Linked DNA regions of Macaca fascicularis. The protein of the gene in region 1 binds, or shares a complex with, the protein of each later gene. Links are inferred from orthologs where the notes say so. Each region holds a gene or a part of one and is shown on either strand. Other genes may lie near its edges.

What was found.
Region 2: the proteins of RNH1 (region 1) and RNASE2 are in contact, whole or in part, in a crystal structure (PDB 2BEX), measured with the Homo sapiens proteins. The link is inferred for Macaca fascicularis from reciprocal best matches to the Homo sapiens genes RNH1 and RNASE2. Residues at the interface, in NP_002930.2 of Homo sapiens: Gln11, Cys12, Arg34, Asp36, Asp37, Arg64, Ser65, Gln93, Asn94, Asp122, Gln148, Glu150, Tyr151, Thr176, Lys205, Trp262, Trp264, Glu265, Trp319, Lys321, Gln347, Ser349, Asn350, Trp376, Ala378, Asp379, Glu402, Asp404, Asn407, Cys409; in NP_002925.1 of Homo sapiens: Lys28, Trp34, Trp37, Gln41, His42, Ser47, Gln49, Thr51, Asn52, Gln55, Val56, Asn59, Gln61, Arg62, Arg63, Cys64, Lys65, Asn66, Gln67, Ser91, Asn92, Arg95, Asn97, Asn111, Leu112, Thr113, Thr114, Pro115, Asn119, Ile120.

Annotation. Positions count from the first base shown.
Region 1 is NC_088388.1:402,530-410,324, forward strand, and holds the start of RNH1 (ribonuclease inhibitor), read right to left. Parts: upstream 4,067-7,795; 5' UTR 3,845-4,066; intron 2,676-3,844; 5' UTR 2,617-2,675; coding exon 2,536-2,616; intron 1,635-2,535; coding exon 1,550-1,634; intron 1,255-1,549; exon of another isoform or gene 1,214-1,254; intron 1,025-1,213; exon of another isoform or gene 870-1,024; intron 1-869. UniProt on the Homo sapiens protein: Ribonuclease inhibitor which inhibits RNASE1, RNASE2 and angiogenin (ANG). May play a role in redox homeostasis. Required to inhibit the cytotoxic tRNA ribonuclease activity of ANG in the cytoplasm in absence of stress.
Region 2 is NC_088381.1:88,601,576-88,608,172, forward strand, and holds RNASE2 (non-secretory ribonuclease), read left to right. Parts: upstream 1-2,818; 5' UTR 2,819-2,885; intron 2,886-3,092; 5' UTR 3,093-3,098; coding exon 3,099-3,581; 3' UTR 3,582-3,760; downstream 3,761-6,597.

The sequences.
Region 1 (7,795 bases):
CAGGATCCACTCCAGGAAATGACGCAACCCCAGCTGCCCTTCAGAAAGACGGCCAACAGGACCGCTCGAGAGGCTCCTGGTGCCCCGACACCCCCAGCTGCCTGAGTCTGTGTGCCAGGCACTCCTCTTCCCGGGGCTGGTTCAGAGGCGGCTGGTCCACTCCGGATGAGTGGAGGGAAGAGGCCCCTGGTACCAACCAGGAGGAAAGAGGCAAGGCTGGGCTCGGGTCCACACGCCTGGGCGCCAGGCCTGCAAGGACAGTGGTAAAGGGCGGTGACACCCCATGGCCCCACGCGGAGGAACTGAATCCACCCGACCCGAAGCGCGTGAGCAAAACCGACCAGGGTGTGGTCACCCAAACTCTGACTCCAGAATCTAGTCATCGGGAGGTGCTGTGGACGGCAGTGGGGGTGGAAGGAGAGCCTCAGGCAGCTGCCCAGGCTGCACATGCTCCGCACATCCAGCCCGACACTCTTGTGTCCTCCATAGCCAGATGAAAGGTGGCCCCAGGGTGTCCTCCTCCTGGGAAAGCTTGGTGGGGGCTCAGGGAGGCCAGCGCTCCTGTGACCATCTGGAACTAGGGCTGTGGGAGTGGCCCCGTCCCCACCCCTCAGGCTTGGCCAGACCCTGCTGTATCCCAGGAAGGCCCTTCTGAACCTCTGTGGGTCACAGATCCCACTGAGAACCCCATGAAAATGCGGGTGTAAACGCCCTTCTCTGTGACTGGAGAAGGCCCTGGCTCCCTACACAGCCAGGGCTAAAGCACACTCAGGAACCCGCCACCACCAGCCAGCAGCCTGCTTTGGTCAAGGCAGAGGTCTGAACAGCGGCCCTAACGGTCCCTTATCCGGAAACCAGACCTTCCCAACCTTAGGGCGGGAGGTCTCCGCAGCGCCCAAGACCTGAGCCCCCCCGCCCCGGGGAGCCACACGGGAGGGGCCGTTCGGAGGCCAATTCAGGTCCTTCGGTTCCGACGTGATGGGGACGTGGACACGGCGACCTCCGAGGGGCGCAGGGCCACCCCCTAGGGAGACACGGGCCACGCTCAGGCGACGTGCAAACGTTCCTGGTCCCTGGGACCCCCGCCCGCGTCGAGTCCCTCGAACCCGCTAGTTCTGGACACCCTGCCGCATACTAAAGGGCTGGGAGGGAACCTCAGAAAAACACGGAGTGGGTCTCCCCTGCTTCTCTGCCCCCGCCCGCGCCCGCTCACCCGGCGCCGCCGCCGCAGACCCAAGGCCCGAGCCGCTTCGCGCTCCTTCCGCCCAGGCGGGGGCGGGCGGAGCCTCCAGCGTGCCCAGCTCAGTCCCCGGGCCTCGTTCCAGTTACTACCCCAGCTTCCCCACTCCCCCCTCGGTTGGGGGTGAAGCCTGACGTCCGCATCCCGTTTCCCACCGTCTGCCCCCAACCAGCCTTTCCACTTAATCTCCCGGAACCGGCGCCTGCACCCGCCTTCCCCCAGACCATCCCTCCAGCTCTGGCAGCCCCTGCCTCCTCCCACAAACAGGCCGGATTCCAAGAATTCCCCAAACACTAAAATAAAGCAAACCTGAGATACTCCTTTTTGCTACCAGACTGGAGATCATGGAACAGATTGACGATGATTTGTTGCGGCTGACGCGAAATGGGCGAGGCTGTGAGGAGAGGTTTTGGAGAGCCGCTGGGCCCTCCTGAAAACTTTGGACACACCCTCCGTTTCTATCAGTCAAGAGTTCTGGCCGGGCGCGGTGGCTCAAGCCTGTAATCCCAGCACTTTGGGAGGCCGAGACGGGTGGATCACGAGGTCAGGAGATAGAGACCATCCTGGCTAACACGGTGAAACCTTGTCTCTACTAAAAAATACCAAAAAAAAAACTAGCCGGGCGAGGTGGCGGCCGCTTGTAGTCCCAGCTACTCGGGAGGCTGAGGCAGGAGAATGGCATGAACCCAGGAGGCGGAACTTGCAGTGAGCTGAGATCTGGCCAAAACCAATGTATATCTTTTTTTTTTTTTTTTTTTTTTTTGAGATGGAGTCTCGCTCTGTCGCCCAGGCTGGAGTGCAGTGGCCGGATCTCAGCTCACTGCAAGCTCTGCCTCCCGGGTTTACGCCATTCTCCTGCCTCAGCCTCCCGAGTAGCTGGGACTACAGGCGCCTGCCACCTTGCCCAGCTAGTTTTTTGTATTTTTTAGTAGAGACGGGGTTTCACCGTGTTAGCCAAGATGGTCTCGATCTCCTGACCTTGTGATCCACCCGTCTCGGCCTCCCAAAGTGCTGGGATTACAGGCTTGAGCCACCGCGCCCGGCCCACCAATGTATATCTTAAATGTATTTCATTGATGCCTCATATCTCTCTAAAACGTATAAAATCAAGCTGCCCCAACCACCTTGGACACATGTTCCCAGGATCTCCACCGGCCGCAGTCACTCATTTTTGGTTCCGAATTAATCCCTTCAAATATTTTACATTTTAACTATTATTATCAACAGTACCTTTTTAAAAATAAGAATGGCCCTGAAAGATGTCAACATCCGAATCTTCAAACCTGTGGTGTTACCTTACGTGGCAAAAGGGACTTTGCAAATATTAGGAATATTGAGATGTGAAGGCTATCCTGGGGTATCTGGGCGGCCGGCATATTATCGTGAGGGTTCTTATGCAGAGACAGCAGGTTTTGAAGATGGAAGAAGATGGCCTCTAGAAGTTGGAAAAGCAGATTTTCCTTGGGAACCTCCAGAAGCAACTACCCTTGCCAACACCTTGATTTTAACCTCCTAAAACTCACTTTGGGCTTCTGAGCTTCAGGCCTGTAAAACAACCTATCTATGGCAAATTCGTTATAGCAGGGATGAGACAATAGCTCACTGCAGCCTCCTCCTCCAGGGCTCAAGCCATCCTCCTGCCTCAGCGTCCCAAGTAGCTGGGACTACAGGCGTTCACTACCACAACTGGCTAATTTTTTCCATTTTTTTGTAGAGACGGGGGTCTCACTATGTTGGCCAGGCTGGTCGCAAACTCCCGGGCTCAAGAGATCCGCCCGCCTTGGCCTCCCTAAGTGCTGGGATTACAGGCTGCACCAGCGCATCCAGCCAAATGTAACCTTTTTTTTTTTTTCCTGAGACGGAGTTTCACTCTTGTCACCCAGGCTGGAGTGCAGTGGCATCATCTCGGCTCACTGCAACCTCCGCCTCCTGAGTTCAAGCGATTCTCCTACCTCAACCTCCCAAGTAGCTGGGATTACAGGCGCCTGCCACCACGCCCGGCTAATTTTGTATTTTTAGTAGAGACGGGGTTTCACCACGTTGGCCAGGCTGTTCCTGAACTCCTGACCTCAGGTGATCCGCCCGCCTCGCACTCCCAAAATCCTGGGATTACAGGGGTGAGCCACTACGCCCGGCCCCAATGTAACTCTTAACGGCAATATCGTGTGCAGTCTCCCGCTCGTATTCGGTTTACTCGACCAATCGCTAAGACGACACTTGAGACTGTTTTCATATCTTTAGGCTTTCCACCATCCTAGAAAGGGGCCTTGCCTGGTTCTAAGGCCGTTCTGAAACACTACCCAACTGTCCTCGGGAAACGGTGCAGAAATCCTCTGGTTTCCCCCAAGGCGCGTGGGCACCTTGGCTGGAACCTCGCCCAATAACACGATGTGCCTGGGGCCCCTTCATCATTTCCGCCAACCCTGGTTACAGCCCTGACGCCGGCCCCTAAGAGCCGTTCCAGTTCTGTCGCTCTCCTCCCCGCAGCCCCAGGCGGTAGCTTCGCGGCCCGGCGTCCGGTCTCCCGGTGGTCCCAGAGCGAGGCTCCGCAATGGAGGGCGAAGGACCCTCCCTCCCCGACCTCGCACGACCGAGACCGCCCACCTTTCCCCCAACGCCCGGCGGTGGGAGCCGTTCGAGTCTTCTCCGCCAGAGCGGTCCTTCCCGGGAGGCCGGTTCTTTGGGGGAATAAGGTCAAGGGTTACGTGATTTGGGGAAGAAAGCTCGGCTGGACCAAGATTGCTTGCGCAGCTCGCTGGAATCTAAGGCACTAGGGGGCACGACGGCCACGCGAGAACGACCCAAGTAGGCGCAGCACCGCCCCCCGCCCCGCGCAGGGACTTCCGGCGCGCCCCAAAGGGGAGCTCGCGGCGCGATGACGTCTTCAGGGAGCGCCACATCCGCCGGGCGGCGCATCTGCCCAGCGCAACCTTGCCGGCCCCAGACCCCTGCCCCGCCCGACCCCGCCCCGCCGCGGGAGCGCGCCACTCGCCCGCGCAGCAGGGGCCTCAGTAGCGCTAGGCGCGCGTCTTCCGAAAGCCCGACCGAGGCCGGCGTGGGCGAGGCCTGGCTACAGGCTGACGCACCGCTGGAGCTACTGACCTCGGGACGACTGGCGGACGGTCGCAGGCCTGGAGACCCAGAGCGAGACGGCCGACTTCCTTCTCGAGCCAGCAGAACGGGTTGAATGTGTCGACACCTCCAGCCGCCAGAGTCAGCGGCGCGGGCGTGTTGGAGCCGGCTGGTGGGCGCGGTCAGGTGCGGGGGCGGGGACTACTGGGCGGGGCTCGGCGCAGGGGCGGGGCCTGATGGGCGCAGTCTCGGTGCGGGGGCGGGGCCTAGAGGGCATGGCTCGGCTCGGGGGCGGGGCTCGGCGAAGTACAGTCGGCGCAGGGGCGGGGCTCGTGGGGCGAGGCTCGATGCGGGGGCGAGAGGGTCTCGTGGGGACGGGGGTCTCCCTAGTAGGCGGGGCTTGGTGCTGGGGGCGGGGCCTGGCGGGCCCGTGCTGTGGCCTCGCACTGGCAGACACTTCTCGGCGATTCCTCAGAATCCTCGGAGGAGGCGGCCAGACCCGGAGCGGCAGCGCCGTGGAGGCGGAGTCGCAGGCGCAGGTCGGGCCTGGCTGGGGCGCGGAGCGCGGCCCCCGGAGAAAGCGGCGGCCTCGGGACAGGAGGGACCCGGGAGAAGCCCCCCTGGGGCGGCTCCGCATGTCGGGGTCGCGCCTCTAGGCGACCTTGGTAGAGGGGCTCCTTTGCGCCGAGATCGCGACCCTCGAGGGAGCCACGGCCCGGTGATCCACGCTGCCCGTCCCGGCCATTGGCTGCGCCTTTGTTTCGTGGGACCCCAGCCCGCAAGGCCTGCAGAGCTGCGGACCCAGCTCTCATCGCGGACCCAGCTGCTCCCGCGTCCATTCTGCGGCCAAGACACCCGAGCGCCGCCCGGAGCCCCGGTACTGAGGGGCGCAGGCCGAGTTCCAGACTAGCCTGGGAAACGCAAAGCGACCCCACCTCCACAAAAGTGGGTTTACTTTAAGTTTTTGACTAGTCCCCAGTTCACAAAATTGACATTTTGGCAGATGAAGATTGCAAGGAAACTGACGGTACGTCAGATTTGTTCTTTAGCAATTTGCTAAACCTCTTCTCTGACTGCCTTTATTATGTATTTATTTTCCAGACAAGGTCTTACTCCGCTGCTTAGGCTGCACTGCAGTGGCGTGATCCCAGCTCACTGCAGCCTCCACCTCTCGGACTCCAGCGATCCTCCCGCCTCAGCCTCCCAAGTAGCTGGGACCACAGGCGCCAGCACGCCTGGCTTATTGTTTTATTTTATGTAGAGAAGAGGTCTCCCTGTGTTGCCCAGGCTGGTCTTGAATTGGGCTCAAGTGATCCTCCTGCTTCAGCCTCCCATAGCGCTGGAATTACTGGCAGGAGCCACTGTATCCGGCTTGATCATCTTTAAAGAAGGTGGTTCTGGCCGGGCGCAGTGGCTCACATCTGTAATCCCAACACTTTGGGAGGCTGAGGAGGGTAGATCACCTGAGGTCAGGAGTTCAAGACCAACCTGGCCAACATGGTAAAAACCTGTCTTTACTAAAAATACAAAAATTAGCCAGGCGTGGTGGCGGGCACCTGTAATCCCAGCTATTCGGGAGGCTGAGGCGGGAGAATCGCTTGAACACGAGAGGCAGAGTTGCACTGAGGCTAGACCACACCATTGTACTCCAGCCTGGGCAACAAGATGAAACTCTGGCTGGGCACAGTGGCTCATACCTGTAATCCCAGCACTTTGGGAGGCCAAGGCAGGCAGATCACCTGAGGTCAGGAGTTTGAGACCAGCCTGGCTAGCATGACAAAACCCCATCTCTATTAAAAATACAAAAAATTAGCCAGGCATGGTGGTGCTTGCCTGTAATCCCAGCTACTTGGGAGGCTGAGGCAGGAGAATCACTTGAACCCAGGAGGCAGAGGTTGCAGTGAGCCAAGATCATGCCACTGCACTCCAGCCTGGGCAACAAGAGTGAAACTCCGTCTCAAAAAAGAAAAAAAAAAAAGAAACTGTCTCACAAAAAAAGAAGGTGGTTCACACACACACACCCCCCCAGGAAAGCTCAGGGCCGGAAGGCAGCCAACCTGGCCGTGACCCTCATCCTGCACACATGAGCTTGGTGACCAGTAGCTGATTCTTTAACCCTCTAAGCTTTGGAGTCTGGATGTGAGGTTTAAAATTCATGACAAGAAGCTGGAAGGATGCCTCCAGCCTGACTCCTGGACTGGTTCTCTTGACCACTTCAAGAATGACATCTTTGCGAAAGCTGCTAAAATGTTCTGGTTTCATTTCATTCTTTTCTATGCCATGACCTCTTAGATTTGTTCCTGGCAATTCTCATAAGAGTGAAGGAAATGTTTAAAGTGGCTGTTTGGGCTTCCTTTTGTGACACCCTGTGGGGAAGGTGCCCAGGTATGTATGGGTGCTGAGTGTGTGGCCAGCACGGTGTCTGTGGCTGGGCCTCCCTCCTGGACAGTGCGGCCACAGCCCCTGAAAGGTGTGTCTTCATTTTTATTTATTTTTATTTTATTTTATTTATTTATTTTTTGAGATGGAGTTTTGCTTTGTTTCCCAGGCTGGAGTACAGTAGCGCCATCTCGGCTCACTGCAAGCTCCGCCTCCCGGGTTCACGCCATTCTCCTGCCTCAGCCTGCCGAGCAGCTGGTACTACAGGTGCCCGCCACCATGCCCGGCTAACTTTTTGTATTTTTAGTAGAGACAGGGTTTCACCGTGTTAGCCAGAATGGTCTCAATCTCCTGACCTTGTGATTCGCTCGCCTCTGCCTCCCAAAGTGCTAGGATTACAGGCGTGAGCCACCGTGCCCGGACTTCATTTTTATTTTTGAACTTACTTGGCTCACCTAGTTATGTCTTTATCTTGTTTTTTAACTTACCCAGTTCACCCAGTGTGGAATTAGGAGTATATGGACATATTCCCGCCCCCAGTTTTATATACCGCCCCAGAGCTGACTACTCTTGGTCGCTTCTGCTAGGTCCTGGCCGACTCGAATGTGCCTTTCCTCCTGATCCTGTGCCACACAGGGCTGAGGGATGCTACCCTCTCCTTCTTCACCTGCCCCTCCCTCACATATCTAGCCCCACCAGGCTACATGTTAGCTTAAAGAGGGAGCTTTCACATTCCCCATGAAAGGGAATCCAGGGGCAGGCTGAGGCAGGAGACCCCCAGTGTTCATGAGATGCCATTCTAGAGAAAGCACTGTGGTGCTGAAGGCCTCAGTCAGACCCCAGGGAGAGATGCCCCAGGGTGACTTTGGGTGGAGAGTCCTGTGCCTGTTCTACTTCTATAAAAATATCCAGGCCGCCGGGCGCGGTGGCTCACGCCTGTAATCCCAGCACTTTGGGAGGCCGAGGCGGGCGGATCACAAGGTCAGGAGATTGAGACCACGGTGAAACCCCATCTCTACTAAAAATACAAAAAAAAATTAGCCAGGCACGGTGGCGGGTGCCTGTAGTCCAGCTACTCAGGAGGCTGAGGCAGGAGAATGGCGT
Region 2 (6,597 bases), on another chromosome or scaffold:
AGTAGATCATTTCTACTAGTTCTGCAGGCAAATGAAGGTAGTTGGAAGTGTACACAGGAAATCTATGCAAGGGAGAATCAGAAAAATCTCATGAGCATGTGCTGAATACAATTTCAGTAGTCGGGAGTGGTGGCTCATGCCTATAATCCCAGCACTTTGGGAAGGTGAGGGGGGCGGATCGCCTGAGGTCAGGAGTTTGAGACCAGCCTGGCCAACATGGTGAAACCCTGTCTCTATAACAAATACAAAAATTAGCCGGGCATTGTGGTGGGTGCCTGTAATCCCAGCTACTTGAGATGCTGAGGCAGGAGAATCGCTTGAACTCAGGAGGCAGAGGTTGCAGTGGGCCAAGATCCCTCCACTGCACTCCATCCGGGTGACAATAGCAAGACTTTGTCTCAAAAACAACAACAAAAAAAAAAACCACATACACAATATTAAAGGATAAATATGGTTGCAAATTGGGCAGGTTATGGTCTGAGTTATTTCTTAAGACACTGCAACAAGTCAGATGCGTCATAAGCACAGATGTCTCCAGGAGCCAGGCAGGTGACATTACTGAACAGACAGGATGAAAGTCAAGAGGCAGAGATGGAGTCAGAGAACAGCCCTGAGCTAGAGCCCTTTCCACAGATGGAGCTTTACTCAGCTCTAATTGATACAACACAGTAATGGAGACACAGTGCACCAATCAACATCATGCGATTTTTAAAGATAAGACAGTGATGAAAACTTTTAGTGAACTATTCCAATGTCAAACGTTATCTTCCAAACCAAACATTATAAATAGCACTGTGTAGGCTGAAAAGAAACACTGTTTAGTCAAGTACATGCCCTGGGGCTGCGGTCTCTGTCTTTTGCCTCATACTATAGACACTTGAGTGCAAATCTTTCTACCCAGTGTGACTGTCAGCATCACAGAGGGGATACTCTACGTATCATTCACCTTTACATTCTCATCACCTACAAAAATGATCTCCACACAATATACATGAAAAAACAAACTCGCCTCATGATAAAGCTGCTAATGACTGTCGGCCAGAGCAGGACTTCAAGGCAGAACACTATTAGCTGCACATTGAGTCCTCGCCAGGTCCCCTTTGTGTCCACATTTACCTAGGGACTCCAGTGATAAAATTACTGCATTTCTAAATGACAGGAAAATTGGATGGTAGCAAAAATTATGCAGATTAATGGTTGGAAAGTATATGATATCATTTAAGGATCTAATTTCAATTTTCTAATCTCAAAGCTAGACCACCAGATTTAACATCTCTTAGTACCCACGACTTACCCCTGCAATTCACTTCCCACCTCCATACAATCTCCCCACATGCCCAGAATGTTCATCTCTTCCCGAAAGCCCCTGAAAACCCCCTGCTTTTACCTTAGGACCCTGCTGCAATGAAACTTTTTTTTTAACTCTTCCTTGTCCCTCAAGCCAAGTGATTTCCTTCACCCTCAGTGTCCCCATGAAATCATGTTCACACAAGTGCAATTACCTCTCTCACACTGTAATTCAATTATATGTCTACAATTACCTTCCTGTGTTTCTCTGAGGGCCAAGAATAAGTGTATGCTTTGTGTATCAAACTGTACATTTGATTTCTATACTTTCAGGAACACAGTGCTCTGTCCTTAAATGTTCATTTTGTAAATACAGAACCATTTTCTTGTTAATATCACAAAATGAAACTTATCAGGAAGATGAATGACAACCCCAGAACACACTGTTTTGTAGAAAATACCATAGGCTGAAAAGAACACAGGAATACCAAGTGCTAGGCTGGAATCTTTCATGACACCAAATGTTCATTCATTCTCTCCCAGATTTTACGACTTTCCTCAGTGTATTTTTAGGTTGTGTAACTTTACACAAAGTGGAAGCAATAATGAGAGCAAGACTTAAAAGAAAGTGAATCCAATGCAAGAGGAGAAAAGGAAAACCCTCAAATATGTGAAGCAGATTGTTTTAATAATCTACAGAATCTTGTGTCTCAAGAAGTTAATAGCTCAAGTTTCCAGCAAAGAGTGGTGGATGAGATGGAGAGCATTTGTGTGAGAGAGAACCAAGGATATTACTAACAATGAAAGGCAAGCTGGCTTCCTCCTGGGCAAACAGCCCTCTGTGGCTCTATTTGTTCTAACTACTATGCCCTGCCTTCGTGCACTTTGGTCATTTAGGGGCCTGCCAGAGGACAGTTACAAAATCTGTGGTCATTCTGCAGGCAACATATAGTTTTCATCCAGAGTCCAGATCCAACCAGCAAAACTCTGTCTTACACAGAATGACTTGGAATTAGAGTCCTCATAGCAGAAAGAGCAGCAGGGCTATCCTTGGGTATCCATTGCTCAGCCAAGTTATCAAATAAAAAGGCTGATTGATGGGCCAGACCCGGTGGCTCAAGCCTGTAATCCCAGCACTTTGGGAGGCCAAGACGGGCGGATCACGAGGTCAGGAGATCGAGACCATCCTGGCTAACATGGTGAAACCCCGTCTCTACTAAAAAATACAAAAAACTAGCCGAGCGAGGTGGCGGGCGCCTGTAGTCCCAGCTACTCAGGAGGCTGAGGCAGGAGAATGGCGTAAACCCGGGAGGCAGAGCTTGCAGTGAGTTGAGATCTGGCCACTGCACTCCAGCCTGGGTGACAGAGCGAGACTCCATCTCAAAAAAAAAAAAAAAATCTGATTGCACAAGCGGACTATGTACCCATCTGTGGGTTTCTACAAGGCCAAGAGTCAGACCCTCCCTCCTGGCTCTGCTGGCCCAACCCACCAGGAGATGCTTTATTTAAACAGTTCCAAGTAGGGAAGAACAGTTGCCCCTGAAGGCCAGAACAACCAGCTGGATCAGTTCTCACAGGAGCCGCAGCGCGGAGACTGGGTAAGTCAGCAATCCCCAGAGCTGGGACAGGAGGGGCAGCGACCGGGCAGCACCTGAGGAAGAGGTGGGCTGAACTTAGTGCTTAGGAGATGTGGCCCACTTTGGGGACAGGAAGAAAAAGGAAATGGGACCCCAGAGTGGCAGCAGAGGGGCCTGTGGGGTGAGACACCGGATGGGGGAGTAGTTACTTCTCTTCTTTTCTCACAGGAAAACATGGTTCCAAAACTGTTCACTTCCCCAATTTGTCTGCTTCTTCTGTTGGGGCTTATGGGTGTGGAAGGCTCACTTCATGCCAAACCCGGACAATTTACCTGGGCTCAGTGGTTTGAAATCCAGCATATAAATATGACCTCTGGCCAATGCACCAATGCAATGCTGGTAATTAACAATTATCAACGGCGATGCAAAAATCAAAATACTTTTCTTCTTACAACTTTTGCTGATGTAGTTCATGTCTGTGGTAACCCAAGCATGCCCTGCCCTAGCAACACAAGTCTCAACAATTGTCATCATAGTGGAGTCCAGGTGCCTTTAATCCACTGTAACCTCACAACTCCAAGTCGAAGGATTTCAAATTGCAGGTATACACAGACAACAGCAAACAAGTACTACATAGTTGCATGTAACAACAGCGATCCAGTACGGGACCCTCCACAGTATCCAGTGGTTCCAGTTCACTTGGATAGAGTCATCTAAGCTCCTGTATCAGCACTCCTCATCATCACTCATCTGCCAAGCTCCTCAATCATAGCCAAGATCCCATCCCTCCATGTACCCTGGGTATCAGCATCTGTCCTCATCAGTATCCATACCCCTTCAGGTTTCCTGAGCTGAAGTCCCTTGTGAACCCTGCAATAAACTGCTTTGCAAATTCATCTGGAAGTGTCTGTGTGTCTTCTTTGGCCACTCTGCTGTCATTTAGTGACAATCTACTCCAGAAATTTTTCTTTCCTCTAACCTGAGACTTGTGGGAAATAGAGATTTGAGGATAAGAGACTCTTTCTGTCATGAAGTAGCACAGACTTATCCCTCTCCCTGCTTTAGGTTGAGAAGCTGAGGTCACAACTGATATCGACCAACTGTCGAAGACTCTTGCTTTGATCAAGCTTTAGTCATCTCCTCTGAACCCTCATCATAACTAGGTCATCCTGTTGGACTTACTAGTCCTTCCTTGTAGAGTCATTTATAATTACTTTTATTTTTATTCTTTTTTTTTTTTTTTTTTTTTTTTTTTTTTTTGAGACAGAGTCTCGCTCTGTTGCCCAGATTGGAGTGCAGTGGCGAGATCTCGGCTCACTCCAAACTCCACCTTCTGGGTTCAAGCGATTCTCCTTCCTCAGTCTCCCAAGTAGCTGGGGTTACAGGTACGTGCCATCACATCCAGCCAATTTTTGTAATTTTTAGAGAGTGGGTTTCAACATGTTGGCCAGGCTGGTCTCCAACTTCTGACCTTAGGCAATCCACCCTCCTCAGCCTCCCAACATGCTGGGATCAGAGGCATGAGCCACCAGTACCAGACCTAAAGTTAGGTTTTACAGAAGTCCTCCTAACTTGGTTTGTCATGAATCTCTCATCCTCAATATTTGACCAAATTCCTTAATTCCCCCATCATTCTCCATGTGATACCTGATTCCTGGCCTGACTTCAAAAAAAACCAAAAATCCAATTACATCAACCTAGCATTGGTCTCCCTAGTCTTGATATCTCCTCTAGGCAATTTTCCATCCGCTGACCCCTCCCCACACACCAACCTATAACTTGACTCTAGATCTCCACTTGTTTTAGTTGTATTTCACCATTGAGCCCAATTTGATACTGAGGTCCCATTTGATGCTTTATGGTATAAGTTTGGTTTTTATTGACATGATTTCTATCCCAAGATATATAGGAGCTGCAGTGAATAAGCTGAAAATGCACGTGTTTCATTATGATTTATGAATGATAAATTTTGATAGGATTGAACGTTATGATAGAAAACACAAAAACAGAAAGTAGAAAAAGTCAAGAATGCTATAAATAAGGTGAAATCAAGATTTTAAAAAAAGTTTAGCCTCAGAGATATTCCTTTTAAATGAGCACATCAAATCTCCAGCTATTAGCAATTGTACTAGACGTGGATCCAAGGTTTGAGTCAAATGTGCAATAAGATAAATTGTTCAGACAGCAATAGGGACAGATTGTAATACCGCCTGGAAGAGAGATGGGCATCTTTCCCAAAACTTCCATGTCCTGGAGATGGGGAGCCGCTGGTCACGTGGGAAGGGGAAGGGGAAAGAGGAGGACGCGGAAGTGGGAACACTCATGAAGGTGAGATGACTCCTGCCCATTCTGCCCTCCATAGCTATCCGCAATGGTGAGTCAAAGGGTTCATTCAACACCTGTCAGGAAGGGCACAGCCTCAAGAAGTAGGGATTTGTAGACCCAGAGAGAGAAGAAATGGATAATAAGAGCCCTTGCCCTGGCCTCCATTACAGGGCTTCACTCAGGAATCCATGAGAAACAGGAAGGGGAAGCCCTTTCTTGCAAGCTGTGGACAGGTGCAGCACTCAGATGATTGTGCCGGGGACAGAGTGGGTCTTTTTGGATGGCCTGAGTCACAATACAACAGAGATACCACGTCATCAGATCTGCACCTTGGTCCTTCAGTCTGAGATTTCTGACTTCTATATTTCTGCTCCTCTTCTAGACCCTCAGAAACAGCAATTTCCATTCCTCAGATGACTCCATGTCAGTAATAGTGACTCTCATTGGCACCAGACAGCAGCTGTATTGAAGTCTCTCCTCAGGAGAAGCCATTGAGATCTTGCTTCTCCAAGGTGGGGCTATGAACTTAAAAGTTTGCACAGGGACACTGGGTTTGGGAAATCTCAGTGCTCAACAGAATCCACTGCCTCTAGGTAAAATAGAGCATGTCAGGAAGTGAGTGCAGTCTTCCCAACCCTCAAAGTAGCAGAAGGACAGGGTGGGACACTGAAAGCTGGAGCCACGTCTACTGTGAAGAAAGATGGCGTGGACCTTCCTTGCTTCAGGTACCAGATCATAGGTGTCTTCTCAGTCAGGGATGCCTCATATCTAAAACCGTAGGACAGAGGGATCAGTCCCCACATGCCCCCACGCCCTCTTCACCTTGTGACTTCATCCCCTCTCCTGTCATCCATTCCTTCGCTCATTCATTCATCCAGCAGACATCTACTGAGTAGGTACGTTGCTCCAGGCACAGTTTGAGGGAGTGCTGATGCAACACAGACCAAGACAGGTCACTGCTCTTTTGGGGCCACATTATGCTAGGATAAAAATAAACATACAAAATTGTTCTAAGCATGCAAAATTTTGTTAAGTGTCAGGAGGAAAAATACACAGCATAGTACACAGAAAATTACACAGAGCACCACAATATAGAGGTTCTGTATGTACCACAGACATCACAGGGCAGAGTGTCACCAGGAAAGACCCATCTCAGACAATGAAATCTGAACAGGAGGAAAAGCACCCAGTCATGCAGACACCAGGTGGAGAATCATCCCAGCAAAGAGAAGGAAAGTTCAAAACTCCTGACAAATACTAAAGCTGTAAGTAGACTTCAGTTCTGTATTTACAAGAAGTTGATTAAAACACCTGAAAGAAAATGACTACAACTATTTGCATCTTTGTATGTATTTATTGCTTGATATAATAAAACATTTTCATTTTTAAAAAGTGGTCCTGAATGGAT